4 linked regions of the Coturnix japonica genome follow. The protein of the gene in region 2 purifies or fractionates together with the protein of the main gene of each other region. This does not show direct contact. Links are inferred from orthologs where the notes say so. Each region holds a gene or a part of one and is shown on either strand. Other genes may lie near its edges. The genes, in order: IER5, PPP2R2D, SERTAD4 and PPP2CB.

Evidence for each region.
Region 1: the proteins of PPP2R2D (region 2) and IER5 purify together in Homo sapiens (affinity purification with mass spectrometry; 3 studies listed by BioGRID and IntAct, counting the BioPlex papers as one, with this or other methods). This does not show direct contact. The link is inferred for Coturnix japonica from reciprocal best matches to the Homo sapiens genes PPP2R2D and IER5.
Region 3: the proteins of PPP2R2D (region 2) and SERTAD4 purify together in Homo sapiens (affinity purification with mass spectrometry; 3 studies listed by BioGRID and IntAct, counting the BioPlex papers as one, with this or other methods). This does not show direct contact. The link is inferred for Coturnix japonica from reciprocal best matches to the Homo sapiens genes PPP2R2D and SERTAD4.
Region 4: the proteins of PPP2R2D (region 2) and PPP2CB purify together in Homo sapiens (affinity purification with mass spectrometry; 6 studies listed by BioGRID and IntAct, counting the BioPlex papers as one, with this or other methods). This does not show direct contact. The link is inferred for Coturnix japonica from reciprocal best matches to the Homo sapiens genes PPP2R2D and PPP2CB.

Annotation. Positions count from the first base shown.
Region 1 is NC_029523.1:5,892,458-5,899,458, reverse strand, and holds IER5 (immediate early response gene 5 protein), read right to left. Parts: upstream 3,502-7,001; 5' UTR 3,347-3,501; coding exon 2,645-3,346; 3' UTR 2,118-2,644; downstream 1-2,117. UniProt on the Homo sapiens protein: Plays a role as a transcription factor. Mediates positive transcriptional regulation of several chaperone genes during the heat shock response in a HSF1-dependent manner. Mediates negative transcriptional regulation of CDC25B expression.
Region 2 is NC_029521.1:30,898,387-30,905,869, forward strand, and holds part of PPP2R2D (serine/threonine-protein phosphatase 2A 55 kDa regulatory subunit B delta isoform), read left to right. Parts: intron 1-3,747; coding exon 3,748-3,845; intron 3,846-5,747; coding exon 5,748-5,913; intron 5,914-6,700; coding exon 6,701-6,813; intron 6,814-7,483. UniProt on the Homo sapiens protein: Substrate-recognition subunit of protein phosphatase 2A (PP2A) that plays a key role in cell cycle by controlling mitosis entry and exit. Involved in chromosome clustering during late mitosis by mediating dephosphorylation of MKI67.
Region 3 is NC_029518.1:20,055,182-20,063,328, forward strand, and holds the start of SERTAD4 (SERTA domain-containing protein 4), read right to left. Parts: upstream 4,239-8,147; 5' UTR 4,151-4,238; intron 4,002-4,150; 5' UTR 3,987-4,001; coding exon 3,824-3,986; intron 3,552-3,823; coding exon 3,436-3,551; intron 733-3,435; coding exon 1-732.
Region 4 is NC_029519.1:30,566,887-30,575,124, forward strand, and holds the start of PPP2CB (serine/threonine-protein phosphatase 2A catalytic subunit beta isoform), read right to left. Parts: upstream 4,881-8,238; 5' UTR 4,743-4,880; coding exon 4,641-4,742; exon of another isoform or gene 3,453-4,640; intron 2,818-3,452; exon of another isoform or gene 622-2,817; intron 461-621; exon of another isoform or gene 1-460.

The sequences.
Region 1 (7,001 bases), on a different chromosome or scaffold from region 2:
CAGGAGGAAAAGGGCCTTTCCCTAGGAAGAGGCACAGATCAAGGGAACAGGACATGGGGTGACACACTGGAGCATCCTGCACCCCATGCATGGCCAGCCCTGGCTCTCCAAACCAACACACTGCTCAGCTGGGAGCCAGAAGGAGCCCTCCCCAGCAGCTCTGTGTTTCATTACTGCTCTCACCCAGCCAGGGGGGCCTGCAGGGTTTTCCTATCAGTAGCAGCAATCACAACCAGAAGAAAGCTGTTTGCGTTCATCCCCTGCCTCGGGGACCCCAGCCAGCCTGGATTCGCCCTTCTCCATTCACTCAGCAGCCCCCACCGGTGCGGTGCCCCCCCATTCCCCAGCTGGGAGAGGCCCCAGCAGCGCGGCCCCGAGGCGCTGGCCTCCCTCCCGGCCTCCCTCCTCCTCCCTCCTCCTCCCTCCCTCCTTCCCAGCAGCTCCCGGATTCCTGAGCGCTGACACAGCCCCGCAGGATGCTGCAGCCCACAGCCTGCCCCCTCCTCCCCTGCCCGGGAGGCACGGACAGAGGCCAGGACGGGGTGCACCGGGATGGAGCACTCGTGGGGGACACCCAATAGGACCCTGGAAACCACCTCTATGCTCATCCCCTCTCAGAGGGCTGAGCCATCCCAGGACGTGTGGGTTCGGCCCTTTTATTTGAGCCTTGGGCTCTGCATCCAAGCCCAAAGCAGCCCCCTCAGCTCCAGACCACACTGAGGAGCTGCTCCCCAACAGCCCCACTGCTGTTCCAGGAGGTGAGGACCTGTCATCTTGCCATTAGATCACATCCGTCCGGGCCCTCTATTTCCATAGGAGTTACCCTTTCTTCCAAGTGATGGAAGGTTTTATTTTTATCTGGCTTATTTTTGCACTCCTTCCATCAGCAGCATTGGCACGGAGGTGCGGTTGGGCTGCCAGCCCCTCCCCAAGCCTACAGCCCTGTCCTTTCCCACCCCTTCGCCCTCAACGCAGCACCGTGGGAAGGGAAACTCCAAGGACCGAAACACTGGAACAGAAGAACGGCCCTTGTTTATGTCAGTGTTATTACAGGAACGAGAAAAGACGCAGGGAAGGAGGCGAGGAAAGGCAGATCCTGGGACCCCCGAGCAGCTCCTGAGAACATCGGGCTGCTCCAGCTCCCCCGGAGCACTTTCCTAAGCCCTGCTGCCAGTTATGCAAAGTATCTCCGGAACAATTGGAGCTGCAGCCGCCCTTCCCTGCGGCCAGCGGGGTCACCGCAGCCCTGGGAGCGGCCTCCAGCTCCCCCCCACCCAACAGCCGGCACTGAATTAGGCTGCGGGGTCCAACGTGGCTGCGGTACGACAGCGGGGACGGCTCCAGCAGCCCACGGAGCCAGCTCGGGTCCTTCGGGGACAGCGCGTGTCAGCTGATAAGCGAGAAGCCGGAGGTCACCCAGCCGGGAGGAGCCGCAGCAGCAGCGTGGCATTTGCCAGCGGTCCGGCTGTTGCACAACGCCTGTAGAAGGTGGAGCAGAGCCGAAGAACCTCCTCCCCATCTGACAACCAGTTTGGAAGAGAATTAACAGCATTTACAGCCCGCTGCCCGGCTCTCCCATCCCGACTTTTGGGTCGCATCTCCCAAGGGCGCACAGCAGAGTCCTCAGTGGGAGGGATCGTTAATTAGGAGCGGAGGAGCCTCCGGTGAATATCCCAGCGAGAAACTGAAGAACAAAAATTCCCCCACAATTCAATGTAATTACAACGCCCCGGGGCGCTCCGCGGTGGCTGTGAAGCACAGGCCAAGCTTTCCTCCCCACCCATGCGAGCAGGAACTTTAACCCAGTTCTTAGCAATAGTAGGAACTGCTCATCGTAACCACCGCGCAAGTAACAGCAAACAGGAGGCGAGGAGAACGACTGCTGGCAGCGGAACAAGCAGCCCCGAGCACAGCCTATGCCTGGCAGCGGCAGCTCACACGCCCCTAGAGCAGGACTTTGAGCCACAGCCATCGACCTGGAGCTGGGAGCGGGTTGGAACGTTGGGTCTACAACAGAAACCCAACGTAACCCAACGTAACCCCCCCTCACTACCCCACCCGAGGTAACGCGGGGTGCCTGGCTGCCACCCCCCACCCCACAGACAAGGATTCAGCCGCTACAGTCGAAAATATTTAATACGTGTCACACACGTAGCAATACATTTCATACAAAACGAGATACATCACCGAAGAGAACACTGTACAAACCCCCCCTCCATCCCACCCCTACCCCAATACGGGACCCCTAAGCCTTTATACAACAAAGGCCGGGGATCCCCGAGCCTAACAACCTCGGCTCACGAGGACTTTCCGTCGGAGCGTCTGTAAACTTCTGCTTCTCTCCAATAACCACTTTTTAAAAGCACCATGTAACAGTTCTGCCCTAAACCTTTCCAAAATAAACACTTTATTTAATAAATTTAATACTTTCCAAGCTTAAAATATCCCCCGCTGGGAGCGCCCCGGGGCGGGGGATCGGGAAGGGGAATTCCGGGCGGGTCGGGCCGCTCCCAGGGCGGCTGCCGACGGTCGGGGCCCGGCGAAGGGGAAGTGCTGCTGCCCGCTGTTCTTCCGTGCGGGGCCGGGAGGGGGGGAGGAAGGAGGAGGGGGGCAGCTCCGGGTCTGTCCGTGCCCCTCCTGGCGGTTAGAAGGCCACGATGGCCGTGCTCCACGGGTTGAGGGTCCGCAGCACGCGCTGATCGCAACAGATCTGCCCCGGCTCCGCGTTCGTCTCTTCGCTGCCGTTGAGGCTCGGCCGCCGGCGGCCCTGCGGCTCCTTGCTGAGCAGTCCCGAGAAGCTGGAGCCGAAGATGCTGATGAGGCTGGCCACGTTGCCCGTCTCCATGTCCTCCTGCTCGCCCTGCGGGGGCGGCGGCGACTCCTCCATCTCTCTGCGCGGCTTCTTCACGGGCGAGCCCTGCTGCTCCATCTCGGCGGCGCTCCGTTTCCGGGGGCACAGCGGGGGCACGGAGCAGCAGCGCCCGGCATCGCGGGGCCCCTCAGCGCCCGCCCCGCAGCGGCAGCCGCCCCACGAGCAGCGCCGTGCCGGCCGGGAGCTGCCGCAGTCCGCGTCGGCCGATGGCCGCCCGAGCCTCGGCGCGTCCGGCTCCGCGGGCGCCCAGGCGGCGGGACAAGTTGGAGCGGGCTGTGCCGGCGGCCCGCAGGCGGCGGGGGGCGGTTCGGGAGGGCAGCCCGGTTCGCTCAGGTAGACCTGGCGGGCGCTGCGCAGTACCAGCGACACCAGGAGGTTCTTGTGCAGCTTCAGGCCGCCGCGCTGGCCCCGCGCGCTGTAGATCTTGCCCAGCGAGATGCTGACGATGCGGTGCGCCTCCAGCTTGAACTCCATGGGTGGGCCGAGGTGAAGCCGGGGCTGAACTCGGGCCGATCCGCTCCGCCGCACAAACGCACACACTCACTCCGCTCGCTCTCGCCGACGACTGAGGGTGCCCACGCGCCACGCCTCCCTTTATACCGCCCCAGCGCCGACCAATCAGAGCGCTCCGCCGGCCGCTCCAACCGCCGGCGCGCCGGCCAATGGCGGGGCAGGGTAACGCGTTCGAACGCTCGCCCCGCGGAGAGAGCCCTTAAAGCGGCAATGCCAGAGAGAGGCTGGTGGGGCCCACCTGGAGTGGAAGGCAAGCGGGGATAGCGCCGGGTCGTCTTCTGCCACTAATTCCTGCCAAAAAAGCGCTTTGAGAAGCTTTCATCCCTTTGTACCTTACAGTACACAAGGGGCAGCTGTCTTTGATGGGTTTATTCTCCATTTTATGTAGAATACATGAAATACGTTGGGGTTGGATTCACTTTGTCCAGGTTGTGAATTTGGATTTGATTCTTGCCTCTATCCCCAGCCCAGCTCCAGGAAGCAATGGGGGCAAGAGGGCGAGGGCAGAAGTGAAAGGACAGCCCAGGGTATCGCTTTCAGCCTGCTGCCTTCCTGTCTGCCATGTGACGGCACTTCCCACTTCTCCCTTTCTCACCCAAAACAAGAGCCTCACTTGGTATTGAAGGGCAGGACGTGAGGTGCAGGGGCTGCCCGTCCCCATTGGGACTCAATGAGCGTGGAAAAGAACCAGCAGGGACCCTTCTCAGAAGGCTTCAGACCCCCCTCCCCAGTGCACCGGCCTCTGGGCTGCAGAGAACAGCCCCGGGCAGAGCAGGGCTTTCCTTCCCACCCTGCTGATGGGAACCAAGCACTGCTGTCCTCAGCGATCCCAACCTGTCCGACCTGCTCCGTGCTCAGCCCGACCGGCCGGGGCACCTCGGTGCTGTCATTGGGTTCTGTGACCAGCCGCGTGTGAAAACAACGGGGATTCTTTGTGGGTGCTGTGGGACACGAGCCCCTTGGTGCTCAGCTGAGCCCGGTAAGAATCAATGCCACAGAAGCAGGGCTGGGGGTGGCTGCAGAAAGTCCGGCCCAGCTCAGCCCTTTTAAGCCGGGCGGTATTTTGGTGGCAGCCCCGCTTTCCCTCCCAGGCTGATGTCATGCCTTAGTAAGTTTGAGGCAGCGTCACATGGCAGCTTCTGAGGTCAGCGCTCGCCTTGGGGTGGCTTTGTTGTCTGTCTGTCTGTACCCGTCCGCCCGTCGTGCCGCTGCTGCTCCCGTTCCCACGCGGGGAGGTGCCGCGTCCCCGTGTGCGTGGCCCAGCCGAGGGGCAGCGCCCCATCCATCCCCGGCAGGAGCCGGGCGGGCAGGGTGCGACCGGCCGCTTCTCTGTCCGCGTGTGATCTGGGCAGGCTGGAAAGGAGCTGACAAACAATTCGCAGCCCTTCGGCACAGCTGCCGTTTCCCGAAATAGCGGGGCCGGCAGACAAAGGTGGCTCGGAGCGAGCAGGAAACCCGGGGGGCCGAGCGGCGGGGAGCCCGCAGCCCCACCTGGAAAGGAAAACAATGCGAGATAAAAGAGGCTCGGGACAGGAAGCAGCTTGCGGTACAACATCGTAATCGCAGAGGCTGCGCACACGGCTGCTTTTTTATAGGCGATTCAATCAGCTCCGGGAAGTTCGCTCGGGGGCTGGCGCTGCTGCCTCGTGGCACGGGCTGCCCACGGCCCGATGGCCGTCTCATATCAGCTCTCTGTCCGCCTCCCTCGCGCTATCGGAAATATAAGGCGAACGGCGCTTTGTCACGTCCCGGCAGCTCTCGGGTCCCGCTGCCATCAGCGCCGGGCCGGGCCGGGCCATCTGGCACGCAGCGCGGCCCCCGACCTGTCGCCGAGTGCGGATGTGGTTACCCAGATCCTGTTCCAAGCTGGCGCCGACCCTCCGGCAGCCGGCACTGCGCCTTGTCAACACATGTGAGCCGGGCAGATACTCTGAAGGAATGGGGAGCGATCCCGGAGACATCCAGGTGTCCTCCAAGCACGGGATCCTGGAGCCTCCCCGGTGCATCATCGCCCTTCTCTTGGTTCGGGGGTTGGGCTCCTCCTGGGACACAGACTCTCACACCAGCAGCGTGGTAGGGGATAAAACCCTTCGTACTGAGCTTCCCCAAGTGACAATGGACCTCCAGGACATCTCCAGGCTCCACTGATGAAGCAACCATTCCCAAACAGGGCTTCGTTTTGTAGCCAGAGATAAGAGATATCTAACGCTGAGCATCGTTTGGGTTGATTCTTCCCTCCTAGATAAATCAATGGTTGACACAGATGCAGTCTCAGCCTCCCGCTGTTGGGTATGGGTAGGTAATGCTCCCCGGTTCCCATCTGCTCTGGGTTATCTGTGTTTGAAGACAAGGGCAGAGAGAACATCCCCAAATACTAAGCACTGCTGGGTGACAACCCAACACAACACGCAAGCGAAACAAAGAAAGCAACACAGACCTAAAGCTGAAGGAAGGGAAGTGGCTCCCCCAGCTTCTGAGAGTGCTCTGTACCTGCACTGGAAACCACAGCCTCGCGTTCACACAGCGCAGCACCGTACTAGAAAGCAAAGGGGTTTTTCCAAGGTTAAAACCCCTCTTCCATTCGGGGAGATCATAGAAAGGCTTAGGTTGGAAGGGACCTTAAAGATCAGTGAGCCCCAACCCTGCCGTGGGATGGCTGTCCCCTACCAGTCAGGCTACCTAGGGCTCCATCCATGACCTTACAGGGATCCATCCAGAGTTAGGGCACCCACAGCTTGTCTGAGTTTGGATAAGGATGTAGATGGTTATCAGCTCCTTCAGGCAGCCATTTCCCTTGGAAAAAGGTGGCCCCACAGCTTACAGTCCTTTATGAAATTGGCTTTGGTTTCCTGGGGAAAGAACACATTTATTTGTCCGGGGTTTCCTATCAGACAACCCTTCTATTGTAGTCCACCTTCCTGTATTTTGTTCCTCTGGTCCTTTGGTCCTCCTGGTGCCCAGGAGAAGCCCAGCACAGCACTGGGCTGCTGCTCACATGATGCCGACTGGGTGATTTGCTCTGTGCCCTGAGGGATGCTCTCACTCCGTGCCAAACAGGAGCCTGGGTTCACCTGCAGCCCAGCACAGGGTTAAATCCACACATCAGAGCCAGCCGAAGCCGCAGCCCTGCAGACTGTAGGGTAGGCTGCCTGCCCAAAGGAGTCACAGTCTAATTATTTTCTCTCCCTGCATCTCAAAGTCACCTTCCTTTTAGCTGGCAGGCAAGTGCCGGCTGCAGCCCTGCGCACGTCGTGGAGCACAGATGTGCCCTGTGTCCCACAGCTTCCTGCTGGATGGCAATGACACTTGTGTCACGCTGCCATGCTCCAAGCTAACAGTGAGGGACCACGTCCAGGCATCCTCAGAGTGGCATTCAAGGACAGAGCAGCTCACAGAAACATCAAATCACGGCATTGTAGAATCATGTAATCACAGCACCATAGAATGGTTGGGTTGGAAGGGACCTCAAAGCCCACCCAGTCCCATCCCCTGCCAAGGGCTGGTTGACCCCCACCAGATCAGGCTGCTCAGGGCCCCATTCAGCCCTTTGTGTTGAATCCCTCTCTCCAAAATGAAGAGAAAGCATGAAATGTCTGTGCCTCTTTCCTCTTGTGAG
Region 2 (7,483 bases):
CCATTTACAGCCGGGTTCATTGAGGAGAAGCTGCAGGCTGTACTCACTGGCCAAGACACTGTGCTTCCTCTGCAGCAGCCTGGGTGCCCTGCTGGTGCTCTTGGTTATCTGTTCAGTGATGTAAATCAGTTCAAAAAGGAGACTTACTTTGGATTAAGTGAAATTCTGCTTGTTATTGAAAAGCAATTCAAGGCACTTTGCAAGTTGGTTTATTACAAAAGAAGTGGTTAAACCTGATGGAAGTTTAAGCAGGACAGTGAAGTAAGCTGGAAGAAACTTAGTGTGAGCAAAACAATGGCACCATTGTGGTCTTCTCCTGACCCCTGATACAGCTGCCTCACTCTCATGTATTCTTAAATCAGTCATAGAAGTGGAGATCTGAATACAGAGTCTAAAAATAGCATATTCTGAAACACAGGTTATTTTTAGTCACTGTATATTTCAAATGAATGTAGATAGCTCCATGGTTTGGCTTTCCTTTCTGTGTAATTCAGAGATAGAAATCAGATTTATATCAAGTCTTAAACTAAGGAACAGTGCAATGTTAGGAGAGCTTAGACGTTACAGTAACAGCTGTACCAGTCCTGGGCCATCCGAACTGCAGAGTGGCGTTAATCTTTTCCCTTGACTGTTCTTACAGCCGTAGCATGAAGAATTTCTATGCAGCCAGAAGCAAATGAGTTAAAGGTACAGGAAAAAAGAGGAGATGCAGAGGGTAGAAGTCAGTGATCAGAAACCTGCAGAGGCCAAAGCTCTGCTGGCACTTGGCTGCCTCAGCAGATGGAGGACAGGCTGCTTAGAACCTTGCTGCCAGATCTGTGCTTTTCCTTTGGGATGGCTGTAACCATCTGAAGGTGAAGAGCTGTTAAACCTTACACTGTGCATCTGTAACTTGTTAAGTTCATTGTATTGTCACTGCCTGTTGCAAAAGCAATTCCTGCTCGTTCTGCTCATCTTACAGTTCAGCACATCACTGGGACATCCCACCTTGTGATTCTAAGTTGGTTTAGGAGCACGTAGCCTGGACTTATCCCCTTCTGCGCTCTCTGTTTCATTCCCATCGACTGTGAGACGCCACATGATGTCTCTGTCTCCCTTCAGCTGTTGCACCACAGGCTCTGTGGAATGATGGGCCCAGGGGAGAGCAGAAGGTGTGTCACCTTGGTCTTGATTTCAAGCACAGCAATGCTCTGCTTATGTTTTGTTTCCTCTCACAATCTCCTTTATGGTTCATGCCAGCCACCTGGCTGTGGTCCAGGTCCAGTCACTTCCTCTCAAAGCCAGAGCCATTCTAGTGTCACAGTCCCTTAGAACAGTTGATTCTTTGGGTCTCAGAACGGATCATGGACAAAGACGTGTAGTAAAATACTTTTCAGGAAGGGGAGGACAGGATGTGGATCTGCTGCCATTTCTGTTGCTCTCTAAGTTGGATGTGAAGATTTGTTACTTAAATTTCCACTGTAATTAATGATTAAGATCCCTTAGAAGTTGAATCAGCCTCCTTTTTAGGTAATGATTGGAAATAGAACTGTTTCACTTCCTCGTGAGGCCCCATCTGGAGTACTTTTCCAGGCCTGGGGCCTTTGGTGCATGAGGGATGTGGAGCTGTTGGAGCAGGACCAGAGGAGGAGCACTAAGATGAGCAGAGGGTTGGAGCCTCTCTGAGGAAAGGTTGAGGGAACTGGACTTGTTTAGCTTGGAGAAGAGAAGCTCTGGGGACACCTCATTGTGGCCTTCCAGTACTTAAAGGGAGCATATAAACAGGAGGGAGAGTGACTTTTTACATGGTCTGATAGTGACAGGGCACGGGGGATGACTTTAAACTAAAAGAGGGCAGATCGAGGTTAGATGTTTGGAAGAAGGTTTTTACTCGGAGGGTGGTGAGGCATTGGAACAGGTTGCCCAGAGAAGCTGTGGGTGCCCCATCCCTGGAGGCGATCAAGGCCAGGTTGGATGGGAGCCTGGTGCAATGCGTGGCAGCCCTGCCATGGCCAGGGCGTTGGAACTGGGTGATCTTTAAGGTCCCTTCCAACCTAAACCATACTACGATTCTGTGATCATCCATTAAGTGTGAGGAGCAGGATTTTGCCAAGAGTCTTTGAATAGCTTTTAAGAATGGGAGAAGTTGATGCTGCTTGTGCCTCACTAGTGTTAGTGCCAAGCAAGATCCAGCTGTACAATCATTCAGGGGGCTTTAAGCTCGTTGTCTTGGCTTTCAGCTTTAGGAGCAGTAAAGTTTTCTGTTGTTAACGGGAGCAGCACTATGCAGCCAGCTCAGAGAAGTTCATGGTGGCTAATTTTAGACATCCAGTTTGGATGTCTGAACAGCCCAGGCCTTGGTATCAGTGTCAGAAATACATCGTATGATTCCTTTGTAGGATCAAATTAGTCTGTGGGCCCAAGCTCGCTCTCCTCTAAGCATAACAAAAGCTGCCCTCTGACACTTCATCCACCTTCACTCCCAGTGTAGCAGCCCAAGATTTTGGAGGCCTGTGTTCAGAACACCCCATGACAGTCTACATGAGAGAAATTATTGATAGTTTATTCCTTTTCTGAAGCCATAATGAAAAGTGTTTTGCACAACTTTGGATTGATGTGTTAAGGAGTCATTGGAACAGTTGCCCAAGGAGGCTGTGGGTGCCCCATCCCTGCAGCCATTCGAGGCCAGGCTGGATGTGGCTCTGGGCAGCCTGGGCTGCTGTCAGTCTTGGTGTAGAGTTTAGGACGACACTTGCAGCTGGCTCAGCTTTGTCATCTTAGCACAGAGCTCTGTGCTGCGTTGTGATATTTGGTATTTGTAACTGAAAGCCTCGTAACCAGCCAGCCTGTAATAGCTTGTAATTTATACATTCAGACAATTCAAGCAGCCATCGGGTCAAAGCAAACATGTAATTGTGGAAATAATTAACACGGATCAGTATTAATGGCCAACAGTAAAATGAGCAACATGCACAAAGAGGAGGTTTTTGTTTGTGGGTTTGGGGATTTTTGGTTGTGAGAATTAAAGTGGCACAAGGTGATGTGTGTATTATGGTGACCAGCTGGAGCTGGTGTGGCCGGGGCTGGCTGGGAGGTGTGGAGGGCAGAGGCCCTAACCCTGTCACCTTCAAAGGCTGTGGCCTGTAGTGGTAAATACTGCTTGTTTTCTCAGGTTTGGTTCCAAGGGACCTTAATGCACTCTAACCTGGAGGTCCTGCAGTCCTTTCCTTCAGCAGCTGTCATCCTTGCCTCTTGTTTGTTGTATAAAAGCTGGTGTTGGTTTAGTAGGCTGAATTGACTTTTTTTTCTTCTCTTGTTTTTCCTTTGGCCAATTCAGGTTCCTGAACTAAGTGTATCAGTGGTGAGCACAAGGAAGGACAGGCCTGTTCCGACATGGCTTTGGGCACTGTAAGCTGCAGTGCTGCTCTGAAGCAGCACTGCAAATGGAGCACTGTGGGGAGCTCTGTGCTCCCCTATGTGTGCCCATACTTACTGGAGATGGGTAGGACGCAGTTTGGGTTCTTCAAACAACAAGCTGCCTCTCATGATTGAAGGCTCTCAAGCTCAGAACATGGAGAAATGAGAGGATGTTTTAAAGTGTAAATGAATAATTTTTGATGGGGTTTGAAACAATTTCTGGATAGCAGTGATGTAAATCAATTCTTTGGGCTGTTATATTAATGCAGATTGTAATTTTGTTTTCAAGTTTTGAAACATCTTGATTTGCTTTACGCATTACAGTGCATTTTATTTCTGTTCTGTTCACAGCTGATATTATTTCAACAGTTGAATTTAATTACTCTGGTGATCTTCTTGCAACAGGAGACAAAGGTGGCAGAGTGGTTATATTTCAAAGGGAACAAGAGGTCAGTGACATGAAAAACAAAAGTGCTGTTACTCCGCTGCTCTTGTGTTGCACAGTCTCACTTCATCTGCTCATGCTGTGAAGGTTGTGTGACTAGATAAGTTGCTCAGGAAACCCAAAGTTAGCCATGTATATACCTGCCTTGTACTGAACCTGGGAGGTCAGCTGGGTGGTGGTTTCAGCCCCTCGCTGCTTTGAAAGAAACACCCCAGAAATACAGTAAATTCCTCTATGTAACTGTTACGCTCAGTATTGTAGATCATAGAATCACCAAGGCTGGAAGAGACCTAAAAGATCATCCAGTCCAACTATTCACCTATTACTAATAGCTCCCACTAAATCATGTCCCTCAACACAACATCCAGTCTTTCCTTGACCTACCATTGGACATTCTCACGTTGATCTAAGGCACATCCTATTTCTTTTGAAATGAATATAAGAAAACAAGTTTATAAGGAAAAAGAATACGTGTGGAGCTGCAAGGACATCAGAATGTGGCAGTTCAAATAGTGAAGAATTAAGCATCTGATGTCAGTGGGAAAATATGGGCATTTCTGGTGCAGAGATGAGGATTTGAGCCTTTCCCTGGTTCAGAATCCCGCTTCTTTCATTGTATAATTTGAATAATGCTTAATGGATGAACTGTCCAGTATTTCATGTTTCATCCTCACTGTTCACAAAACATTTTCCCATTTTAGCTCATCAGTTTTATTGCAGGCTTTTCAGAGGTGGTGAAATGAAAACACTATTGCTGAAAAGCTGCTGAAATGTTACACTGCTGCACCTAGATGGCTCAGTGCTCATTTATCATTTAGTCTGCTGGATAGACTTAACTAATGCACACAGACCAAGGTCAGAAGTGGCCACCTGCTCGGGATCTCTATCTTTTTGATACTAGTTCAGCATGGAACTCATATTGTTTTTGTGCTCAGTTGTTGTGTAAGTCCAAACCCAGCTGTCACATCACTTCCTCTTAGCATTACACAAGTCACACTCGTCACACAGCAATATTTGGGAGGACGTGGGCTGCAGGGAAGCGATGGACGTGACAGGATTTCATTCTCTTGCCACATACAAAACTGCAGAATTCCTGGAGAGGAGGAAGTCACGTCTGAATCAAATATGTCTATAATACTACAAACTTAATGAAATCTCACAACTGTTTCTTTAAACAGTGTCATTTCTTTGACTGTGTTAGTAACAACCAAAGATAGTTGTAAGATTTCACAAAGGCTTCGTGTTGGGAACGCAGGCTGAAATGTTGGGCATCATGCCCTGAACTCGCAGGGCATTACATCAGTTCCAAGAAGCTGATGTTACTGACACACTTGGTTGGAACATAGTGAGACCAGTGCCTTGTACTGGACAGGACAGCCTGAGCAAAACATGGGTGGTTGGGTAAGTAATGGACATAACTAAAAGTAGAGAGGATCCCATCTAAAATGCATAGAAGTTAAATGACGGGGAGAAAGATCAAGTCTCAGAATGAACTGACTGCATATTTGTTAGAGATTGTACTATGTCCATATTATGTTCATTAGGGGAACAAGTTTGATGAGGTGCAGAAAATAAACACATGGATTTTATGGTTTAGGATATAGGGATGTAACTGATTTCTGCTCCAGTTGGTTTGAAAGTGCCTGGGAGCAGCAGTGCAGGCAGCGTGCTTCTGCCAGGTGCTCTCAAATGAGTCAACAAATACGTATATTTAAAGGTGTATTTTTAAAAGGCAGTCTGCACATATTGTGTTGCTAAGATGCTTTACAGTAAAGGTACCAAATTCAGCAAGACCCATTGTAACAAGGTTCCATTCTAATTGACAATTTATAGTCTTTACTTTGTATGTAGAATTCCTAACAAACTGGGTAACATCAGCTTCAAGAAATTCTGTGTTTCCTTACAGAATAAAAGCCGTCCTCATTCTAGGGGAGAATATAATGTTTACAGTACCTTCCAGAGTCACGAGCCTGAGTTTGACTACTTGAAAAGTCTAGAGATCGAGGAAAAAATTAATAAAATCAGGTGGTTGCCACAACAGAATGCTGCTCATTTCCTGCTGTCTACAAATGGTAAGAACACTATTCTTGCAAAAGCCACTTATTGTGTGTCATTTGAATATTATTGGCTGTTTCGTTTTGATGCATCATGGAGCAAATTGTAAATCTAGTGCAGAGCAGTGCAGGAAGAAAGCACACCTTGCTTTTGTTGACACATGCACTTGTTCCTAAGGTTTTGGATCTCCTTTAGCCTTGTTCTTAAATGATCTTATATACAGGCTGCTATACAAAACTCCAAAAGCAGGAATGACTTCTGTCTATGGACCAGGAAATCAAGTTAATCTACTTTGCTTAAGTCTTGCTAGACTCAAAGCAGCCTTTCAGCTGTGTCATCTTAAATGATTGTTTTCATTCCTTCAGGTTTGTCTGTTTAAAATCACTTAGATAGCAGTTCAGGGCTCATTGCTGGGTTCTGGTGATCAGCATATCCCTTGCAGAGGGGTATTAATGCCAATGGTAAGCTGGCTGCTTTATTGATCAGGCAGAAACTTGTATTATTTTTTAAGCTGAATGTTACATTTGAGTTAAAATGAAACCTGAAAAATGTGAAATGAATGCTGATTGTTTCCCTTCTTTTTACTGATACTTTGAGGTGTTTCCCATCCACACCCTGTAAGCGCGTGCTTCTTGTTTATTTCTAATACACTAATTCTGGTAACTAATGTAGCCAGAGGCAAAGTTCTTCACGTCTGTGCTGAGAGCAACACTCTGCTCAGCCCCATACGCAGGGATTTAATTGTGGAATTTGGTTCATTCTCAAGGATGTGAATTTTTATTGATTTTTTTTTTTTTTTTTTAGATAAAACAATCAAATTATGGAAAATCACTGAAAGAGATAAGAGGCCAGAGGGGTACAACTTAAAAGATGAAGATGGAAGACTTAGGGATCCCTTCAAAATCACAGCACTGCGGGTACGTTTCTGCTTTTTGACTTCAAGTATCTTTTCTGCATGTAGTTCTTTACCTTCATATTACCAAGGTTGCCAACTGAGATGAGAAGGTAGAAACGATGTTTTGGTACCTAACTAAAATATCTCCTTCCAGTAGGTTGGTTCTTGTTTTGTTTTTCTTGCTGTTTTGGAATCTTAGCAGATTTTAAATAGATTTAAAATCAAATACTTTCAAATGAAATTATCTCCTTAGAGACAGCATTTATCCAACTCAGTGTATTGAAATGGTAGAAAAAGAGATTGGTTGGCAGTTCCCTGTGAAGCTGGCAGGTAGGGTCAGTGTTTGGCTTTAAGGTGCTGTGGATTTAGGAAGAGTTAAAAGTGAGTTTAGGAAGTGTTGATAACTTCATTTTTATATTGTGCTCTCATTCGTATTTATTTTCAAGGACAGGGCTGCTGTTTGAACAGAGTGCTGGGTAGGCTACAGGAGCTGTTTTAGTTAGAGGTCAGCTTGGGGCACTTGGAAAGCCTAATGAATACTTCTCTAGCCTTGGTATTTTTCCAGTTTCGTGGTGGTGTAATGGCAGGTTGGTGCCCCAGACACACGACCATTTAAAGCAGGAGCTCAAGAAAAGCAGTCATATGGGGGCAGGGGATTTTCAGTCTCTATTGTTGTTGTTGCTATAAATAAG
Region 3 (8,147 bases), on a different chromosome or scaffold from region 2:
TTTGCTGCAGCACATTTTATTACTTGGTAAAGATTCCTTTTTCCGCAAGGATTTTTTCCAAGATTCGCTTACATCACTCTTGTCATTACACCCAGTCTCAAAATAGTCATAAAATTTGCCTTTACATTCAAAAGTATGAGTGCCTCTTACAGGTTCACAGTTTAGGGGCTCGCTGTCTCGCTCAGGTTCGTCGCTGCCCTTCTCATCAGTGAATTTGGCCTTGTCCTGATTAGCATGAGGCCTGGTGTTAGTGACAAATATTTCGCTTGCAGGTATTTGCTCGTCACTCCTGTAAGAAGGGGCACTGCCAATGTCATAATCCACCTGCTGGGAACAGCTCGGCAACGAAATGGGGGATGAGGAGGAGGAGGGAGAGGAGGAAGAAGTATTTTCTGTGCTGGCATTGACCGAGTAGGGAAGATTCAAGTAATGACCACCGCACTCTTGATAGAAGCAGCATGTGTGGAGCTTCTCATACTCCTCCTTGGCCATCCGAAGACGCTTTCGGTAAGGGCAGTCCTGGGGCACAAACCACTCCTGTGGCGAGGCAGCCCCGAAGGAGCACGTGGAGAAGCACCAGTTGTTCTGCATGATGATTTCTCCATGGATTCGCTTCATTAAATTGTTGATGAGGACGGATCTCCGCAGGTAGACTTCAGGATCGTCAATGAACTTCAGCTTTTCCAAAGACATGTAAAGAATATGGGCCCGTTCCTCAAACACTGAGATTGTCTGAAAATACAAAGGAGAGAAGATACAGAACTGAAGTCAACCGGCTTTGTTCCAGGCAAGAGAAAGGAAACGAAGCAGGGTATTCACTCTGTGCCACTGCCTTTCTCCTTCTCCTCCTCAGGCAACTAAAATCAGCTTCCCATGCTGCACACCCATGTGGAACATGTTTTTTTCTCAGCATCTGGGGTTAAAACAAAATTGTCATACTGTTCTGCTCTGGTGATGGGGGCTCTTTGATGTGAATGGACCCAGTCCCATCCCCTGTGGGGCTCCCACTGAGCCCTGAAGCCAGACACAGGTCCTTCCCACAGCCTCTTTGCAGCAGGGAGAGGCAAAGCTTTCCAGGATGGGGCCAGCAATGAGTGCCAGAACATTTCACCCACAGCCGGTGGAAGGGGCCCTCGGTGAGGAGGTCTCCATTTGCCAAGCCCTCGCTCGCCGCTCTCACATATAGGAACACACACAGGGAGGCAGGGAGAAACCATCTCAAAGCACTGCAGCATCTGGAGAGCAGCTGTTGGCCCGTGCACGACACCGCTCACTCCATGGGACCGGTGGGAATGTGGGGAGGCAGGGACAAGGTCAGGAAACAAAAGAGAGGACGGGGATTTGCAGGGATCCTGGCCAGGAGCCCACAGATCGGTTCCCCCTGCCGCAGTCCCTCCGGGGCTCTCTTTCTGAGCACTGGCAGCAGGAGCAGGTTACTGCCCGGGGGGCCCTGCTCTACACTGCAGTCACTGCCCCGGGAATCAAAACAGAGAGGGGGTAACACACGCTACTGTACGCAGCATTAACTAATTTTCATTTTTAGTAATAATTTGGTTTGTGTAGGAGGAGAGAAGCACAGCATAAAGAGAGGTTGCTCTAAATCCCCCCCATCTGTGGCTCGCTCGTTCTTCCCTTTCCCACATGGTTACAGCATTTTTGCAGAGTGGAAGTCGTAGCTATGAGGACTGAAAGCGCTCAGAGCACAGCTGCTTTTCACATCCATTCAGTTCTCCCAGCCCTGCAGCTCTTTCCACAGCCTGGTCCTGTCTGCAGGGCTCAGAAGCAGCACAGTACCTCGTAAAAGCAAAAATTGGCCCTGTTTCCAAGCAAGTTCGCAGCTGAAGCTCTTCTTTGTTAGACAGTAATTTTCTAAACATTAAGCCTAGAGGTTAACGTGCTACAGTAGAATCACAGAATGGTAGAATCGTGGAAGTTGGAAGGTATCCTTAAAGACCATCAAGGCCAACTCCCCTGCACTGAACAGGAGTACCTACAGCTCCATCAGATGTCATCAGCATCCCCCCAGCCCGACCTTGATTGTCTCCAGGAATGGGACATCCACCACCTCTCTGGCAACCTGTGCCAGTGCCTCATCAGCCTGACTGTAAAAAGAATTCTTCCCTATATCTGATCTAAATCTCACTGCTTTTAGATTGAAACCATTTCCCCTTGTCCTGTCGCAGCAAGCCCTGCTAAAGAGTCTGTCCCCTTCTTTCTTACAGCCCCACTTTAGATACTGAAAGGTTGCTCTCAAGTCTCCCTTGGAGCCTTCTCTTCTCCAGGCTGAGCAGTTCCAGCTCTCAGCCTGTCCTCCTAAGGGTGGTTCCATCCCTTGGACTGTATTTGTGGCTCTCCTCCAGAAGCGCTCCAACAAGTCCATGTCCAAATACCATTTCTTTATACTACCAGAAGGGAACAGGTAACAACCACTCCTCCTCTTCATCATCATACAGAACCCAACAACCTACCCAAGAACAAAGCTGGCAGAACAGAGAAATCAGTGCAACATGTGGGAGAGGACATCTTTCACTACCCTCCATGCTATGTGCACATCTCCCCAGAAGCAAACCAAGTGCTCTGCTCCACCTTCCAGCTGAACATTCATTCCCAGCCACTGCTATCTGTAGCTGGAAATTCCTTCAGCTGCCCTGAGGCATGTGGGAAGAACCACCCGTACCTCTTCAGCATGGGGCTCAAGCAGGCCCTGAATGCTGTCCCGGCAGGCACTGGGCAATGCAGGACCTGCTCCGTTCAGGTTGCCTCTGGGATGCAGCAGAGGTGCTGGAAAAGCTTTAGGTGCATGGCTGCACTGAGGTACCTTGGGTGCAGAGCCTCAGGGTGCCCCAAGGCCTGCGCTGTCCCCAAGCACCCCACCCCTGTGCTCAGCTCATCAACACCAGCACCAAAGCTCCCACCAAAAAGTCTGGTTTCAGTGTAGGCACTCACCGGCCTGGAAAGTGTTTGCTGTAATCCCTCCCTTGATGGCTTTTGTTTAAAAAAAAAAAAACAAAAAAATACTCTTTTCCTTACTAATCTGTTCTTTTGGAGTTATTGGCTTTCTAATAAACAGGATTAACCATGGAAGGTGCAGTGCTGCTTGCAGAGCTCTCTGCTCTTCTGCAGCCCACAGGGAACCTGCTGTGTGTCCTCCCCACGGGAAGGTGTGGGATGAGCAGGGAAGCGGGGCCCTATTTGCTCCGTTCCCCACATGTGGCATTGCAGCCCTACTCCTGTACTCGTGGGACGAGCTACCGAGGAACAAAAGAATCTGGGGGGAAAAAAAGTTAGCTGAGCATTTAGGCTAAAAGGCTGCCCGGGCAACGCGATGCCCACAGCTCGGGGCACGCAGCGAGTGCCGGCCACCTGCCCGTGCTCAGGCTGCAGGAGCGCCCCAGCGGTGCGCGGGGTAAAAATAGCGGCTCTCGGGAAACGTACTTTGTGCGCGCAGCTGCTGAGCGGCGGGTGAAAATCCTCTTCTTCCACATATTTCCTTTTAAAGTATGCGATCTTGGATGCCGCTGCAGGATTTGAAATTCCCCTGTAATGCGATCCTGCGGGCAATAAATCAGACACGACAAATGACATGCGGTTTGCCGGAGGTTCTCCAAACAAAACACTTTCCGTTTCCCCTCTCGCCGCGGCCCCGCCACGTCTCCCCGCAGCATCGTCCATCGGACGCTCCGCTCCGCCCGCCCGCCCCGCGGACCCCGCGCATCCCGCGGCTTCTCCCCCGCCCCTCGGGGCGACTCGCGGCCCCCCCCGGCTCCGGCCCGGCCGCACCTGCGCGGGGCCGCCCCGCTCCCCGCTGCCCGGCGGCGCCTACCTGCGGCGGGGGGACCGGCGGCGACCGGAGCGGGGCCGGGGGCGGCGGGGCCGGGGCGGCCGCAGGCGGGCGGCTCCCAGAGCGCGCGGTAGGCGGCGAGGTCGGCGGTTCCTTCGGCGGCGCTGGGGCGGCCCAGCCGCTGCATGGGCAGCACCAGGGTCATGGCGGGCGCCGGCTCCTGCAAGGAAGCAGCGCGGTGAGCGCCCCGGCACCCCTCCTCCTCCTGGCCGCCCCGACCCCGCGGCGGGCACCTACCGTAGGATGTCAGACGGACGCACGCCCCGAGTTCCCCTCCCGCCGCCCCCGCCCGGCCCCGGCGGCGCTCACCCGGCGGCGCGGACCCGCTCAGTCGCTGCCCATCCTCCGCCGCCGCAGCTGGCACGGCGCGCCGGCACCGACGGGCGCGGGTCTGGTGCGCGTGTCGTGGCGTGCGGGAGGGCGCGGAGCGGCGGGGATCGCGTTTCTTTCTTCCTCTCTCCCTCCCTCCGTCTCTCTTTCCCTCCCTCGCTCTTTCCCTCCCTCCCTTCCTCCCACCCTCCCGGTGGAGAGGAGCACAGACTCCGGCAGTTGTTTCCACTCTCCCCGCTCGGGCCGCGCTGGCTCTGCCTCCAGGCAAAACACAGGCACCAAATTGGCTGCGGCTCCGCGCCGCCGCTGGCGGCCCCGGGGGGGCGGCCCGGGCGGGGCGGGGCGGGGGCGGCTGCGGAGCGAACTTCGTGCGGGGCCGAGGGCTGAGCGCGGAACAATGAGCCGGGCGCGGCTCTTCCCCTCCTCCTCCTCCTCCTCCTTCTCCTCCTCTCGGCCCCCCGCGGCGGGACGGGGCCGCGCAGGTGGCGGTGCCCCGCGGGCGGCTCCGGGTTGCGCACCGCGGGGGAAGGGGGAAGGTAGTATCGGCATCTGCCACCATCGGGCCGCGCCTGGGCAAAGAACTGCGGACGCGGGGATGGGAAGCCCACGGGCAGCTCCGGTAGCACAACGTGGGCCACGCACCCCTCGCACCTTCTATTCCCAACGGAGCGCTGGCACGAGGAACGCTGGCTGACCGCGCTGGCTGAATGCAGGGCGAGAGCTGCTGAGAGCCGCCGGGCGGGTTGTGTGTTTCTTGTTCCAAAGCGTTCTGCTGCCCTTAGAAGCACCCGTGGGCACCTCAGTCTGTGGCACGGAGCTGCCCACGGGGAGACGCTGAAACCCGGCACCCGCCCTCTAGGAATAAGGGTTGGGGGCAGCTCAGTGCTGCGCGAGGGGGAGGTCAGGATCCCTCCTATTGATGGGTTCAGCATCCCTTTGTGGGATTGTTTTATGAGAATGAATTCGAAGTCGAGAATTTTGGCTGTGCTTTCTCTTATATGTCTCATCGTCTGCGGGTGCTTCTGTGCTTCAGCAGACACACGGGAGGGAAGGAAGAAAGGAAGTGTTGGGATGCCTTCTGCACAGAGCTGCTGATTTGTCTTGAAGAAGAGGCTGCTCTGGACAGCCTGGAGAGCAGCCGGGCTGCTTCTGCCGTGCACAGCAGGGACCGAGGCGGGGCAGCCACCTCCCGCTGACAGCTGCCTGCCGTGTGCATTTGCCGTGCACTCAGATGGAACAGAAACAAGACATAAAAAACCGAGCTTCCCGACGAGGAAAAATTATAAAGCCCAAATCCCGAAGCGAGCTGCTAAGTCCCTGCACGCTCTGCAAAGCCGCTTGGCTGCAAAATAGGGCTCGTTTTGTATTTAGTGAGCCCTGTTTGTAGCCAAGGAATTGCACACAGGCAGAGCAGCAGCCTTCCAAAGGGCTCCATGTGCCCACTGGTCTTCCAGAAGTGCCGGTATCTGGCTGGGAAGGTCACAGCCAGTGCCAGGGTGATGCTGGGCCAGGGGCTGAACTCCCAGTCCCCTATTGAGTGCTTCAGTCAAAGCACATGGGCACATGGGGGTCAGGGCTGCAAACAGAGCCAGAGCCCTTCATATCCCCACTGGCTCATCCCGTTTGGGTCACGTTATTGTAGGCAATGGAGGCAGTCTCCTTTACAAATCCTATTCAACTCAGAGAGACTGTGCAGAACAGCACGTGCATTGTTCCACTGCCATTAACACCACTGGAAATAAAGGACGAAAGATTCACACTGGTGCATACAATGCATTTGCCATACAAAATCACAGTGAAAGGCCAACACTCGGGCCTTTATCCCATTCTGGAAAGCCATTTGGGAGCCCCGGATGCCTGCGGCATCACCGTGAGCTCCCGCTGCCACCACCACCGGTGCCATTCTGTCACAACAAGGCACTACAGCGGCCCCAAGGTTGAAGTGTCCAACTTCACAGTGCACTGCTTCACAAGGACACAACTGCACAGTGCAACTACTCCCAGTCACTGCTTTACTCCATTTGCTGGTGTGTTCCTCTGCAGTCATTGTGATGTTAATGAGAGAGCTGTAATGATGCCATTCACACATAACAAGCCCGATGGGATGGCAGTGAAAAGGGCTTTTTATGCACATCCAGAATGTCTCTAGAAAAAAACAAAGCAAAACAACAACAACAACAAAAAAACAAATATGGAATGCCTGTTAGGATGATACTGCGGGTCTGATGGGATTAAGAACAGGGAATGGACTTGGGATGACTGCGCCTGTCATGAGGAGAGAGGGGAGGCTTTGATTGCAGCAGTGGATGGGAGGAGGATGTTGGGAGTGCATGGCCCAGCTGGTCAGCATGCCTTGATGTGCCAGAAGTTCGAGGATGAGGAAGTCACAGAGCTGGGAGATTAAAGGGCCTGGATACACGTGGAGTCACAGCAGTGCTGTGAATAAAGCTGTGGGGCCAGGGACTCACGGTGTACCAGGGTAGCCTAACCATAGTGAGCAGAAGTAGAGAACGAGAGGTGATCCCTGAATCAGGGCTCTGACAACAAGGACCAGCACTGTGGTAGGTGGGAAAGCACCTGGAACATCCAGTTCATGCTGGATTTGAACTAGCAGAACAGCATCTGTGCTGTCCTATCTCATAATGTTGGCCCACAGTGTCGGAGGTGGACATTGGTGGTGTGGCAGTAGAGGTTGAACCTTCCCCCAAATATTCCATTAGGTTTGCAGAGCACTTCAGCATCCTGGTGGTGAGCGTTGCTCCTGCTGCAGTGACAGCTCCTCTGCTGGGTTACCTTTGGGACAGCTTGGCACTGCACAGGGGCTGGGGGCAGTTTGGTGCCTGGAGGTGAAGAGAAGAGGACGGACAGCTTTAGGTCAGGCTGAGGCAGCAGAGTCCATGGGGCTTCTTGAGCCCAAGAGCAGCTTCCCTTCTTTCAGTGAGGTCACAAGTAAATCTGCCTCCTGGCTGCATTGCCTTCTGGCATCACAAACTGTGTGTGTATGGAGTTTAATTGTATTGCCTTCTTCACTTTCTGTCCACTGAATAAGGTAAACAGCACAAAAGAAGTGTTTGGGAACAAAGAGCAAGCTGTCTGCCGCTCAGCCTGCGCTGCTTTCCATGAAGAATGAGTGCTATTATTATTCTTTTACAAGTTTCCTTCTAAGGGAAATAAACACCAAAGGTAGGATTCCAAGGAAATGACTCACAAATATTGGCAACGTGCTCCAAAAATTTGATCCAGTCTTTGCAGAAGCCCTTAGCAGAATGCTAACCCCTCTCATTGCAAAATAAACTTCTCCCATCCGTGCCACACAGCAGCTCTGATGTGTGTGTGAAGGGCAGATGGGGGTGGCAGGGCCCATTTTGTTGTTTTTTTCTTTTACTTCTTCCCAATCCCCTGACATCGCATTGGATGCAGCCTCCAGTATCTGTTCTCAGCCACCAAGCTGCCCTCCCAGGTGCGCAGAGGTAACCACACACTGTGCCTCACCTTGTAGTTCTTAATCAGGGACCCCAGGAACCAGGAAAGCAGGCACTGAAGGATCAGACAGCTGAGCAGAGGCAGCCTGGCAGCATTACCATCTGCAAACAGAACTGTCTACTTAGCATATTTATTTCTCAGCTGTTTAAGATTTTGAATCATAAACGCATTCTCTGCATCCCTTGTAAGGCACATGTTCAAAGGCTCCAGCGCTCTCTCATGTTACTTTTGGGGTTTTGTTTGTTTATTTTGTTTTTGGCAGCGTAAATCTGGGTAGACAAGAGCAATGAAAATTGCGTCTCTCACATGGAATTCCTTTGCAGCTCAGTTCTGCTTAGACAGTGCCTGCAGATTAAAGAAGATTAAAGATCATTACCTTTACAAACTCCCATTTAATCACTCCACTCTGAGATGGGGGACTCTGGCATGGAGTCAGACTTTTCAGACAGTACAGCAGCGCAGCGGGACCATGCAGATTCCACACTTTTCCATG
Region 4 (8,238 bases), on a different chromosome or scaffold from region 2:
TGGTTGTTTGTTTCACTGTGCACAGGTAACACTACAACAAAAAGGCTGAAATAATCAAAGCATCATTGCAAAGGAAAAAATTCTGATATGAGTAAGCTGCCCTACATTACTGTCATTTACTTATGAAGACTGTTAAATAACTATTAAAGTCACTTTGACCTACTATTTCTGGCACATCAGCTTCCTAACCACGTCTCCATTTGTTCTGAATTAAAGCCATCCTCCAGGTAAGAATGAGTAAGAGTTACTGTAGTGGAAATGCTAAGTCAGGGCCTGAAGCAGTGATGGAGCACCTGGTGGAAGGCAGGGCCGACCCGCGGAGCTCAGGTGCATGCAATGTGACTGAGTATCCAGAAGGGGTGAAGCCAGGATCCTCCCCCTCCCAGACCCCATTTAAGGGCTGGCAGTGGAGGCTGGGGTACCTGTCTGGAGATCCCTGCCTGCTGGAGGCTTTCGAAAGGTAAGCAGTTTTTCTTCCCTTGTTTCTGTATCCGTGATTGCTGTATTTGGGCTCGTTCTCATTTGCTGTAGCCTAGGATTGTGCTACTCTGTTACTGCTGTACTTTCTCTCACGTTACAGCACTTCAGCGTTACAGTAACAAAAAGCTCCTTCTCTTCTAGGCATAATATTTACAGTGTCTGCCCTCAAAATTATTCTGAAGACCAGGTTATTTGTTGGCTGTGAATTTGCCAATATCTTAGCTCTCCTTCCCATCAGAGGACCAGGCTGCCTGCCATCCCAGCCCTTGATCTGCATGGATGGATGCTGGAGGACACATCCCAGTACGTCACTGTGCTGTCACTACAAGAAAAAACTGAACAGTCTCAGGACTTGAACACAATCTCTTAATACACTGCTCTGAAACTGGAGATCTTACACAGGCCCTGAGACTACTGTCAGGATCATCAGGAGACTAAGCTTCTGTGAGAGGCTTAATGATCAAACACATCAACTCTCATACTGCTTGGATTTGTCTCTGAGACTCGTGTAGGATGACTCCATCGGTGAGGGGATTAAGATCCATCCAGATTTTCAATATCAGGTCTTCCCTGGATAATAATGTAAGATCCTTTGAGAACACAGAAACACAGCTCCTTCTGGAAGATTCATTGACTGTGCCATAACCTCAGTTTGATTGTTGGAGGCCCTTGCTTCAAGAATCCAAGAAACCAGTTATGGAGTTTCTCATTTCTCTGCCAGTTGCAATTAATTAAACTACAGCATCAACAGGCTGAGGATCCTAAAATCTCGGAGGTGCCTCAGCAGCTTCGTTTGACAAGAGCCAGCTGGATTCTCCCCAAATGAGAGGGGAGCTGGAGAGCTGGAGCTGCCCTGCCCTTCAATAGCAGGGGGCAGCCCACAGCCCCAACAGCAGCACTGATGCCAATATGGATGTACACTCCTAGAGCCATCCAGGCCAGTATATGCTAAGATAAACTTTATCACTGAAGAGATAAAATACTGCTGACTGTGATCCAGCATAACACTCTCAGAATGTGTCATGGTTTGAATGGCATCCAGGATGTAACTTGGCTTTGTTGCTCATACTAACTTCACCAATTACTGCAGAGGAGCCTACGAGCTCATTCTATTAAAATTATTCCTGGGCAAAATAATCTCAGAGGGCAGAACTGCCATACGTACATGCTAGCAACAGCAGTACTCCCTAAAGCACCAACTGGCTCCTTCTGCTCAGCTTGAGGAATCAGTGCACAATTACTTTTCAATAACAAGAAATGCAAGTGTTCATTAGTGGTTAGAATCCTTTTCCTCCCACCACTTCACAACACAAAGCTCTCCAGCTGCTCACAACAACAAGTCTCTACCCCCCTCTTAGACATATGAAGACCGAAGATGGGGGGGAAGGGGGAAATAAGGAAGCTACAAAGAAATAGATGGCTATAGATAGTCATTTGCCTGTGTTTAAGAAACAGCCTTTAACTGGATTTTCTTTATGCCGTATCTTATTATCTTAATGAAAAACTGTCTTTATTATAACTAAAGCCTCAACTCCCTCATCAGCAGAATTAATCTGCTCACTTGACTTGAATCTCAAATCAAGCAGCATTTAAAGCTTTTCACGTCCAACCTTGAGAGCAGTTCCTGTTAAAATGAATCCACCTCCTCAGTCTTTCAGCCTGGCTGTAGCTGCTCAAAGTGCAGGTAATGAGGGGCAGCAGTACCCACGCGGGATCAAAAGGAGTTCCATGCATTAAGTGCTACCCTTCTGTCAGTACCCAAATTCAAAGGCAGCACAACCACGGATACAAAACGTGCCACTGCACTTCTGATTAAGTGCAGACAGCATCCAAGACTGAGCTCTAAAGATTTTCTCACTGCCTATTTAATGGGGGAAAAAAAAAAAAGGCTTTTAACAACCTTCATCTACTCAGATGATCTACAATAATAAAGTTAAACAGTAAGAGATGCAAGAAGCCTAATGTTCATTTCCCTGATGGGCTGGAAACATTTCTGGTGCCTGGAAGCTCCAGTAGTGACAATAATTGTTTGTTTTTCTATTACATACTAAATATCAGCATGACTTTAGTTTTCATTTTAAGAGCAGCAGAACAGGAAGTGTTTTAATGTTATCACCAGATGACATCTTGATTAATTCTACAAAGACTCTAAGATGGATTAGCTGCCAGTTATGTCATAACCAGGCAGATCAATTTACAGTGATTCTACAGGTGCAATTATCAAAAGCTTTCTGAGAGAAGAACAGCTGCTATCCCCTGTGTGAGCCAACTATCTCCAGTCCTTCCCTCCTCACTGTCTGTGAGGCCAGCAAGTGAAACCAAGAACGATACACACAGGTAAGTCTGGGACTCAATTTGGTTTTGTATCCCATGCTTTCATAGAAAACTTTCAGAGTATTTTTTTTATTTTATTTCCCCCCCGCCCCCCCATTTTAACCACCTAATACTATTACTAATTTAAAAACTAAAGCAAGAGTTACTATTGCATATGACCAGAAAGGTTGTTAAGGGTTTCTCCAAGTATTATCTTGGGGAAGCAACCCAAGCTTTCTGACAGCGCTGCAGATCAGTTACCAACGCTACCTGAAAACCAGATGCTCCAATAGCTTACATTTATTTCCGAGCAAACATGCTGTGCCTCACAGGTTCGCATGGTTCACATCCTACCCGTCATTTTGGAGGACTGACATTCCTTTCACCTGCAGCTGTGCTCTCCACTTGGCACCTCTCCCTGCTTTGCAGCCACTGACTGCAATACAACCTACTGATCATACCATCCAGCTTCTGAAAGCACAGCAGCCACAGCTCCTTCTTTGGCTTTGCTGTTAATTAAGAAGGGAATTATTACTATTATTATTATTATTATTATTATTATTATTATTATTATTATTATTATTATTATTTAGCAGCTTGGTGGTTGGTGCAGCAGTTCAGAACTCTTGCTGTTCTGAACTGCAAATCAATTCTTTCAGGCTCATCAGCTGGACTTCAAACGACAGCACAGCTACAAGAAGCTCACTCTTTTGAAGACATCTACATCTCAAGGCTCTTCAATTGCTCCCTGCTGCAGCACCAGCCCTTCTCACAATTGTCCCAGCTTGGTGAGTGCAGAAAAAGCCATAAAGCAAATGGGCAGTTACAGCGTGGGTAAAAAAACAGAATGGGAGAAACAGGCCAGTGTGCAGCCAGACAATCCAGGACTACTAGTAAAAGTGTATGTCAGGCAGCCACGGCTTTGACTTCTAACAAATATCTGCCTGTGACACTCAGCTCCTACCTTTTGAAGGGCACTCCTAGCATGCTATAAGGCGGTGGTGCAGGCTCTCTCTACTGTTCAAACCTATTGCTGCGGTGGCCTACTGAAGACTTGGGGGGAAAAGAAAAAAGAAATAGTTCCATCTTCTGAAAGCTGCCACTGGCCAGAATGCCAGGAACAGGCACCACAACAGATCACCTGCTTCTGCAAGAGCTCAGTGAGACACAGGTAATGACAACACAAAACCTAGCTCGCTATCAGCAATACAAACAGTACAGGGACCAATGAACTAGCTGTCAGGCACATGAGGCAGAGCAGTTACCAGCTGATCCAGTGCACGGCAATAGTCCCTGCTGTCACTGAGGTACATAGAGAACACAATCTGAGCTGCTGTGCTGAGCCCACCTCAGCTCCTTGGCCTTGTCACAGCTCGTACATTCAAGCAGATCCTAGCTCAGCTATACACTGCAGTATGGATGGTTATGCTCGCACACAGGCATTTAACTTCTCAGACAAAAGCCACCCAAACCTGTCTCCTGACAGGAGAAAAGGCTCTTTGCGGCAAACTATATTACCTCTCCAACCACTTCCTGCTCTATCCCGGCCTCCCTCCCCACAACGTAGGCCTGTCTTTAAGGCGGCAGCACAGCCCACCCGCTGCCCCTCATCACACGTCAGGGCTTTCCCCACGGCTGCGGGCCGACGGCCGCGCTCCGGCTCGGCGCCGTTCTACAGCCGGCGCTTCTCGCAGTGATCCGCCATGCGGGCAGCGCCGGGCGGGCCACGACGGCCGGCCCCGAGGCACAGCCGAGCCCCCTCCAGCCGGCCGCAGCTCCAGGCCTCGCACGGCCATCTTCGGCACGGCCGGCCCCAGCGCCGGGCCGCCTCTCCCCGCCTCACTCACCTTCTCGCAGAGGCTGCGGACCTGGCTCTCGCTCAGCTGCCGGCACTCGTTCAGCTGCTCGATCCACTGGTCCAGCTCCTTGGCGAAGCTCTTCTCCTCCATGGCGGCGCTGCCGGCCGGGGCCGGGCCCCCCCCGCACTGGGCGCCCGCGAGGCCCGGTCCCGCCTGAGGCTGCCGGCGCAACGGCGGGGGCGCGCGGCCTGCTGCGCTCCCGGAATGGCGGCCCCCGGCCCTGCGCACTTCCGTCTGCCGCCGCCCCCGCCCGCGCTTCCGCTCCGGCACTGCGCGTGCGCGGCGCCTCGCGACGGGCGTAACGGTCCGTCCCTCAGGTGGAGCTGGGAGTCAAAGGGGTTAGAGCGCTGTGCGCCTATAGCGAGCTGTGCAACTGAAAGTGCGTTCAGCAGAGTCAAAGGGAGTCATGTATTTACACAAATACAGTTTGTTTAGTTGCTCCTAAAAGTCCTCTGCCATTCTGTACTCATAAATGATGCCTTTTGTGAGCTGTGAACAGCTTGGAAGACTCAGCCAAGAGAGCCCCTGGACCGCTGAAACCAACTGGGACTCTCCCACTATCTCACCAAAAGGGAGCCCTGAGGGAATTCTACTTCTCAGTCTCGTAAATTAAGACTTAAGCAACCAGATCCATAAAGCATTTGTAATGCTTCCACCTGGTCCTTGGTGAGGACACCAGGGCGGTGTAACTTCAGCCCCACTGTGTTATGCACCTGGAAGATGTTTTCCACCTGGACCGGATGGCTCCACGCAGTGCTGAGGTTGATGCTGACGTGCTGGAAAGAGGTATGTGCCTAAGAGAAGTCACCCAACCCTCCACAGGGTCCTGCTGGTGTGGTATTCACTCCAGCGCTCCTATATCTCCTCCCTGCATATCACCCGTGCACAGCACAGCCCTCACATTCACCCCCCATGCTGCATGGGCTCTCCCTGGTACCCCTAGCACCTGACACAGTCTTGCACACCTCTTCTGCAGCGGCTCTGCTGAGTCCCAGCACACTTGTGGGAGAGGCAGTATTGGGTGGTTGCACTTGATGGGGCACAATACATCATCTGAGGAAACAAATATACATTATTCAGGGTGGTGTGAGGATGCTTGGCACTCCCAGGAACTGAGCAGAACTTGCTGCCTCCCATTTGAGGCTACAGGGAGGCAGAAATGGGCACTGTTGTTCCTTTAATTTCATCTACTCACAGACTGGATTCTGTACCTGAAGATGCATGGGAAAAAAGGCTTGCAACCACTTGTGAGTGCTGCCTTCCTTTGTACCATCTCTAGTAACCAATGCAAATGCCTTGTTAATGCATGGTACTGAAAAACCAAGACGGTGTTGTCTGCCTTTCTGAGGAGGAAGAAAAGATTTTGCTAGGTCTCCTTCTGTGAACATCATTAGATGTCCACAGCTTTTGGCTGCTGTTTTCAGTGAGTTCATCACAATAAATCATTTCTTTCTAAAATGCAAAACACCAACATCAGAAATTACTTAGCCTCCAGGAAACATTAATAACAGTCTTATCTCTTAACTGTTAAGTATACTGAAATGCAGCGATTCTTCTCTTGTGCACTTACCATTTTGAAGGGTGTAATTATGAAACACTGGTGAAAGAGGACATAAGGTTGAAAAGCCCTGGGGAGAAGATGCGAGAGGCAGATTTATATTCTGGGTCTTGGTTAAAATTATTGCCCCTCACAGACGGACACATTTCTATGTCTCTCTCACAGGAAGCTCCCACGTGGGAGACACTGTAAAGCCAGCTCTGAGTGACTGAGCCCTGAAACAACTGCACCGTGCATCAGGCAACAAGAATTAGAGCAGACAGTTCAGACTACACAAGTAAGCAAATTTATTTTAAGACAGAACAAATATTGTGGCAAACAACAATACGCAAATTCAGTTGGTAACAGGGGTAAATATCAGACTTCGTTTTCAAATAGATATAAAATATATTCAGATTTTGTTTTGTCCAAAAAGCAGCTTGTGTAGGGGGCTTGGGATGGGAAAGGTCTGCCCATGAAGCTCCAGAACCAGCACTGACTCCTCTGCCAGCAGGGCTGCATGCATGGGCTCTCCCACCACAGGACAGAGGTGCCTGTTGGAATTCCAGCTCCCTTTCAGTAGTTCCCTCCCTTCTGGTAAAAAGCCAATTCTTGCCACAGACTCCATTTTTGGTTGTGGAGGAGCTGGAGCAGCACCACAGTGCTCACCTACCTGGGGATGGAGTGGTCACAGGTGTCCTTTTTAGGCACAGATAAGCATGCAGAGAGCTGCTGGGGAAGCAGCTCACCTCCAAAGGCAGAGGAGTCACACTGAATCCTGGCCCCATGCTCGCCATGGAGAAAGGGGACAGGACTGCCTACTGGAGCACAGGGGTGGCTGTGAGCCAAGGGGGAGAGAGCTGCTTTCTGGAAAAGCCATCCCAAATAAAAGCACACATAGAAAACATTAGATTGTCAATGATGCTTTGAAACAAATTCAAGTTTATCATTTAGTGTGTGTGTGTGTGTTCACTTCGTACAAACAGAGGAGAAATACTGTGAAACTTCAAGCTCTGGCCAGCATGTCCTCAGTTAGTGTCCACAGAAGCACCATCAGGTATGGGAGAGTTAGCACCACAGAGTTGTAGGACCTAACTGATAACATGCGTCATTGTTGGAAAACTAGGGACATGGAGATCCACGGGGGACATGGTACAGTCCATTAGAAACAATACAAGGCAATTTATGCGTTGTCATACAGTACAATACAGTCACTGACCAACCAACCCTTTCAGTACAGTACGGAACATGTAACACTTTGCACCCTGTTAACACTAGGGGACTAAGAGACTCTCACACTTTCCTTTCCTTCTGGCCAATTCTGGTACCAAAATGTGCAGGAAGGATGAAAGGCTCGGCCCTTCCCTGACGCGCTTCACAGGGTCCGCACATCAGGAGAGATGGGTCCTGACAGCCACAGAAGTGCTCCTTACTTCTGTCATAGTGAGAACAGGGTCAATTGAAAAAGTGCTAAATTACAGTACATCTGCATTTTTATATGTCAACTACTGAACAGCGAAACAGATCGTTTGAAAACAGAATCGGTATTGTACAGTAAGTTCACACTTAATTCTTCACCGTTTCTACACTTGTAACACATGCATTTTATTTCCATTAGTTTGATTCCAGTAGGACCAACATCCTTCAGAACAATGATCTCACATTAAACAAAACTCCCTAAGGAAAATACTGAGCATCACATAAGCTTCAGAAAAATCTGTTAATCAGCATCACAATGTACTCAGATTTACATTTAGGGTTTTTCATGCCATGAATTTCAAACACCTTTTGGTTAATATCCTGAAAACAAATCAACCCCCCCACCCCGAAATGATAATAACAGTAATAATAACAATAATAATAAAACCACAGAAAGAACGGCTGGGGAAACAAATACTCTGTCTGTAGGTACATGCGCACACACATACATGCACATACACATTGAGGGGTGCATGGGTGTGTGTGCATTTGGAGACTGCTTCCTGCAGTGCACAATTTGTTTGATAAACTTGACTCATTTCAAGGTCATTCACATGGGCTGGGAAACAC